2 linked regions of the Rattus norvegicus genome follow. The protein of the gene in region 1 interacts with the protein of each later gene in a biochemical or structural test. Links are inferred from orthologs where the notes say so. Each region holds a gene or a part of one and is shown in the gene's direction. Other genes may lie near its edges.

What was found. The genes of interacting proteins can lie anywhere in the genome.
Region 2: the proteins of Dmd (region 1) and Dtna form a complex in vitro, tested with the Homo sapiens proteins (3 studies listed by BioGRID and IntAct, with this or other methods). The link is inferred for Rattus norvegicus from reciprocal best matches to the Homo sapiens genes DMD and DTNA.

What each region holds. Positions count from the first base shown.
Region 1 is NC_086039.1:52,112,078-52,115,598, forward strand, and holds part of Dmd (dystrophin), read left to right. Parts: intron 1-2,062; coding exon 2,063-2,242; intron 2,243-2,883; coding exon 2,884-3,012; intron 3,013-3,521. UniProt on the Homo sapiens protein: Anchors the extracellular matrix to the cytoskeleton via F-actin. Ligand for dystroglycan.
Region 2 is NC_086036.1:15,154,022-15,157,542, forward strand, and holds part of Dtna (dystrobrevin, alpha), read left to right. Parts: coding exon 1-72; intron 73-2,509; coding exon 2,510-2,676; intron 2,677-3,521. UniProt on the Homo sapiens protein: May be involved in the formation and stability of synapses as well as being involved in the clustering of nicotinic acetylcholine receptors.

The sequences.
Region 1 (3,521 bases):
TTTGCCTGCGAATTTCATAAAGTAATTGTTTTTGATAGCTGAGTAATATTTCATTGTGTAGATGTACCACATTTTGTGTATCCATTCCTCTGTTGAAGGGCATCTGGGTTCTTTCCATTTTCTGGCTATTATAAATAAGGCTGCTATGAACATAGTAGAACATGTGGCACTCCTGTCTCAATTGCCTCTCTTTCTAGTCTGTGCTTGTGAGAGTAGGGCATAACCTATTTCTGATTCATCCTGTCACAGATTTCTCTGATTTGTTACTTTGTCTGTCCCTCAATTAAATATCACTTTTAAAGATGGCTGCATCTCTTTACAAATTAAACTTCACTTCATTGTTTGAAATTAAAGGCGTGTACTAAGGTTATGTCTCTATTCCATCTAGATCATAATGTAACAGAGGCTATGTCATTCCATCCAGAAAATATAGCCTTAGAAAGTTTTTAGTTGTTTTTCTTTGCCAGAGCACCCTGGTTGCTGGATTAAAATTTCTCTACAATTTACCTTACATGTGTAACTCACCATTAAATAACCTTTAGTTTGCCTTAAATTAACTTTTACTATTACCTGTGAAGAGTTGATCTCAATGAATTTTCCCAATTTCGATGATTATAATGCAAATTTTCATAAGAAAAGATTCATCTGTTTTACCCATTCCTTCATGATTAACAAATCAGAGTAACTTTAAAATATATTTGTGACTAGGAAATAGTACATTTATTTACTGAAAACCATCAAGTTTATTGGTTAGTATTTTTGAACCTAACTGATCATATATTTTACCCATAAAATGTTAACATTTGCTGCAATTATGATTTCAGTAGAATTCTTCTCATGGTAAATGTTTTCCTATACCACAATATCACTTAATGAAACATATGCAGCCCCAATTTTGCTATCCTTATGTCTACAAATGTAGATATAACATAGTGAATATAATGAATATAATCTTATGTTTTCCTCACTTTAAAATTAAAAAGGAGCTTATAAATTACAGCTTGAGGGAGAAAACTAAGTGTCTTGAGTATAAAGGCAATACTGTTTTATTTTTGTACCTATAACAATGATTACCATCTATATTTATAGAGAATCTATTTTACCCTAGAATTTACAGGATGTTTAGAGGGTTTAAATTTAATTTTTATCTATTTATTTCTAAATAAGCTGTGTCTACCCAAACTTGGTACTTTTCTTATTCCAAAAACGAGTTAATAGTGTTATCTGTGGCAATTTTACAATAGTATCTGGTGCCATAGAGGAATGCAATAAACAGTCATGAATAATATCTGAACAAATTGATTTTAAGCAATCCTTGTCTCATTCTTGTACCACAAATTAAAACCTTCATTATAAATAATCATTTTGCTCATAGTAAATAAATTCATTTGGCATGAGTTACTACAGGATCTGTATTTTAAAATAAAATGATAATAAAAGAACAAATATAGAATCCATAGATGAAAGTGTTTATTTGTTGATAACATCTAGGAGTAAGAAATCTACTGTCTGATAGAGATATACTCTTATCTTCTATCCATGAATACTTCTGTGACTGTACTTGTACAAGTTTTATTTGAATCTACTTGAAACTTGCCAAGATGTGCGGTTCTTCATCTATGATTTTGTCTTTTTTGACTTTGCTTGCAGTTATTGGGACATAGACTTCATTTTAAAATGACTTTTCTTCTTCGTGTCAGTTTTTTTGTACATTTATTTTATACTTTAGAAATCATTATGTGAGGAGTTCATTCAGTTTAACGAGGTGTCAAAAATATTCATATCTCCAAAAGGCTAAATATGTTGCTATAGAAAAATAACCGAGGCGTAGTGGTTTAATTTTCAAATTACAGGTATTGCTTTATAGATGAGTCTTAAATTGTCTGCCTTTAACAAATACATGATCAAATTAATAAACATGTAATATTAATTGAAAAATCTCTAGGTTTAGTTATTAAACATATATAATTATGATTAAAATATCTATCACATTTGTATAACAAAATTTCCCAATTCTACATAAAGTGCATTACTTGAATCTTAATGCTATTTTTTCCTACAGGCTACTCAGAAAGAGATTGAGAAACAGAAGGCTCACTTGAAGAGTGTCACGGAACTAGGAGATTCCTTGAAAACAGTATTGGGCAAGAAAGAAACTTTGGTGGAAGATAAACTGACGCTTCTGAATAGTAACTGGATAGCTGTCACCTCCAGAGTAGAAGAATGGCTAAATCTTTTGTTGGTAAGAGTAGAGGCAGGAAGCTTTTTGTCTTAGCTGAGGTTTTATTGTTGTGAAGAGACACCATGACTATAGCAACTCTTTTAAAGGAAAACATTTAATTATGGCTGACTTAAAGTTTTAGTGACTTAGTTCATTATTATCATGGTGGAAAACATGGGAATATACAGCCAGACAGAGTGCTGAGAGTTCTACTTCATGATATCCAGGCAGTAGAATGGGAGATTGTGTTCCATATTGGGCAAAGCCTGGGCAAATGAGACCTCAAAGCCCATCCCCCAATGAGATTTTCTACATGGCCTAACCTACTCTAGTAAAGCCATGTCTTACAATAGTGGGGGCTGTGGGGACCATTTTCTTTTAAAACACAACATTTCTTTTTCACTCTTCCTTCTCAGCAAGCTAACAAAACAAAAACAAGAAAATAATAAATTAGGAATGATACTTGTGTTTGAAAATTCAACTGCTCTCTATATATGCTGATATAGAGTCTCATAATTCCAAGATATTTTTCAATACTTAGTATTACTTTCTATTTCTGATGTTACTTAAAGGTAATTTAAATATTTCATTGTTTTCTTTGTAGACAGTGGAAAAATGCTTTAGGAATTTTGTCTAACCAGATATATTTCCATACAATTCAGGAATACCAGAAACACATGGAATCCTTTGATCAGAATGTAGAGCATATCACCAAGTGGATCATTCACACAGATGAACTTTTAGATGAATCTGAAAAACGGAAACCACAACAAAAGGAAGATATTCTTAAGGTAGCAAATAAAATATGAGAAGTAGTTTTCAAACTGTACCTGTTATGACAATTATGTTTCAACTGCAAAATACCAAAGACTTTCTTATAAAGCCTAATATCTTTATTTTTTTCTACCTGTGTTGCTTCCATCTTTTGATCATCCATCATTATTTTCTATCTTACGACATTCATTCCTTTCTATTCCTCCTCATTTTAGAAATCAATGTCATTGTAGAGATCTATAATTTGGGTATCATGTCTGACCTCTCTCTATATGTGCTAAAACCATAAAGGGTTGCACAAATTACTTTTCTGCCATATTGCAAGTCATTCTTACTTTAATAGCAATATTATTTTCTGCACCATCAAAATAGTTTCTCGTTGATTCATACAGCCTTTATTAAATACTCATTTTTTCTATCTACTAGTGTCAAAGATCAAACTTAGTATGCATTTAGTTTGCCTGCTCTAAAAACACTAAATTAAGGGTTGTACAAACTCCCAGGTGTTTTAATATTTATGTCATTC
Region 2 (3,521 bases), on another chromosome or scaffold:
TCATGTCAGACCCTCCTCCACAGTGTCTGGTATGGCTGCCTCTTCTGCATCGACTGGCAAATGTAGAAAATGGTGAGTAGTTACTGCTGGACCAAAACGCTATTTAAATTGCTCAAATTCAACCATAAAGTCTACAGTTAGGAAGCCCATGACAGTTTTAGGGAAATTTGTTCAGTGGATCATTTAACAAAACTACCTCCTGACTCATCAAACCTTTTATGCTACAACATTAGGGTGAGGAATGCTAAAATAATGACGATAAAGGTGAAGGTGAAGGTGAAGGCGATGGTGGTGGTGATGGTGGTGATAAATTGTAACTTCAATTATAAGCTACTTGTGTTCGATAGAAAAATCCCAAGTAAAGGATTGTTTTAGAAGGGAATGTCCGATGCTGGTATCTAAAACATTAACCATTTTTTCCCAAAGCAATCACCCAGAAATAGGTGAGAGCAATAAATGACAGCAACTTGCTCACCTTACGGCACCTACCTGTTCAATGTGATAGCCGTCCATTAAGTAAATCTATGTTAAAGACAAGGTAGTATAAATTCCACTGCATGTTTCTTTTCAAAAATAGCAAAGGTTTCTAATATAAGAGATGTTTACCATTGACATATCCAGATTTAAATGTAAAATACAACCTAGGATACGGTTTAAAGAAATTTACACATAGAACAAACTAGAGCCTCTATTTAATGTTTGTGGTTTTTCCGTCAAACCACAGAATTTCTCCAACTTGAATAGAAAATAATGTAGCCCATGTCTATTTGTCGCTTTAATGCACACTGGGGAAAGATGACTTCGTTTTAAATTCTCATTTGGAATTTTTAGCATCTGACTCTGTTGTCTCTAACTATTCCTAAGTTTATTTTGAACAAAGTTTAGAGAATAAAGTTCCTAGTTCCTTTGCAATTACTAAAAATCACATATATGTAATCACATGTAAGTACCTGCTGTGAGACAGGATGGGGTCAGAGTTCTGGTGGGCATCCCAGAAGGAGCTGTGTGTCAATCAGAACTCTGTGAAGGAGCTGTGCGCCAATCAGAACTCTGTGAAGGAGCCGTGCGCCAATCAGAACTCTGTGAAGGAGCTGTGTGCCAATCAGAACTCTGTGAAGAAGCTGTGCGCCAATCAGAACTCCGTAAGAGGCCGTGCACCAATCAGAACTCTGTGAAGAAGCCGTGCGCCAATCAGAAATCTGTGAAGGAGCTGTGCGTCAATCAGAACTTTGTGAAGGAGCCGTGCGCCAATCAGAACTCTGTGAAGGAGCCGTGCGCCAATCAGAACTCTGTGAAGAAGCTGTGCGCCAATCAGAACTCTGTGTAGAAGCTGTGCACCAATCAGAACTCTGTGAAGGTGTGAAGGCGCTGTATGCCAATCAGAACTCTGTGATTTCAGTTCTCACATCTCAGTGCTTCCTGTTACCCACCAGAGATCTATTTCTTAGGCATCTGGCCAGCGTGGTTACCCAGACGTACCTCATACCCCTGACTTTCCCAGAAGCCAGAAGATGCTTGTTGTCTTCTTTAAACAACAACCCATCAAGAACACGATATGTTCTTTTCTCCCATTTTACTTTTTACCATCATTTATTCTATCTGTATTACTTTTCTTGGCCAGTTAGTAAGATGATAGCAACAATGCAAGAAGTTATTGTTGTTATTGTTGTTGCTGCTACTGCTGCTGCTGCTGCTGCTGTCTTAGTATCTTTAGCTCATGGCATGAAGACAGTTTGGATTTGATTATGTGTTAGGTTCAATCTCAAAGCCTTTACTTGGCCAGCTTGGCACTTCACATTTCCTAGCAACAAGTGAAGTGTCTCTCAAGCAGTCTAAGTCAGAGCCATGTTCAAATAATTTCTTCATCTTTTGGGGTCCTATCCTTCTACCCCAGAAAAGTGTGTGTGTGTGTGTGTGTGTGTGTGTGTGTGTGTGTGTGTGTGTGTGTCTCAGATAAAGGCAGTGTCACTCATTAAATAAGCCCACTAGTGACTATTTTTTTTAAGAACTCAGTTCTCTCATCTAGCTTTTCTATTCCCCCATTTCATTTCTTTTATCTTCCTCCCATTTTTTTACTTTGTTAACACCTTGCCCTTGCCTACTAGGTCCTGAACTGTGTCCAGCCACTGTGCTGCTGTGTCCTCATGACATCTCCTGGGCTCCTGGAGATGATATGGGGGGAAAACTGGTCAGTTTGGACAATTTACATTCTTATGACATAAGAAATAGGGGTAGACAGCCAAGGTCGTTACAGTAATCTGTGCTGCTAGAGGACATTGATTCTTCGTCCCATTTTATACCTACTCACCCTCTCACCCCCACATACAAACATGCATATGCTTCAAAAGTGCAGTTCTAGAAATAAACTAAATGCTTCTCTCAATCAGAATTGGTCTGAAATCAGCAGGGCACACAGCTGAAGAACAGAATTCCCCGAGAGAGGTGTTTTTCTTGTCTAGTTCACACTCCTGTTTTTTTTTTTTTTCTTCCTCATTTACTTCCTCCCTAGTCTTCCATCCGGTTGAGTGTTCCTACTGTCACAGTGAGAGCATGATGGGATTCCGATACCGATGCCAGCAGTGTCACAACTACCAGCTCTGCCAGGACTGCTTCTGGAGGGGCCATGCAGGGGGTTCTCATAGCAACCAGCACCAAATGAAGGAGTATACATCATGGGTAAGTGACTTCCGGGCAGTGTTGAAAGGGGGTGTGAGAGTGTCATCCAGGATGAAGAAGAATGTTTAGGGTGTTTACGGTGTAGGTTTCTCTGTTGCTGTGATGAAGAGCAAAGCAAAAGGAAACTCACTCATGGAAGGAACTCCCAGTTCTCCAGTCATCACTGAGGGAGGCTAGGGCAGGAACTCCAGTAGGAGCCTAGAGGCAGGAACGGAAACAGAGGCCATGGAAGAGCCTGGTTTGTTGACTTGCTCTCATGGCTTGCTCAACCTGTTTTCTTTTTTTTTTTTTTTTTTTTTTTTGGTTCTTTTTTTCGGATCAACCTGTTTTCTTATAGCACCCGGGACCACCTCCCCGGGATGGGATGTTCCACAGAGGGCTGGGCCCTCCCACAGTGATGGTTAATCAAGGAAATGACCTGCAGACTTGTCGATGGGATGATTTTTCTCACTTGTGGTTCCCTTTCCCAGATGACCCCGACTTGTGTGAAGTTGACCAGAAAACAAACAAAAACAAAAAATTACCCAGGACACATGATGATAGAATTAAGGGCAAACTTAATTTCTACTCCAATGTCCCCTGGCCTGCCATTCCTGATCCTATTGGGACCTCTTACTGTGTGTATCTAAGCTGAGTGTGACTTCCTGAGACTTTAAATACTGGAAGAACCAATCATTGATTCTTCTCAGGATATAGACAGGTCAGAGCTGATCTAACCAACAGAAAAGCAGGCAGGCCTGGGTCCAGCTTACTTTACTGTAAAGTACACATTTTTTCGATCTTTTACTTCTCTTTGTTTCTGTACGTATTGATAAACAAGATACTGCATGTTTTGTTTTGTTTTT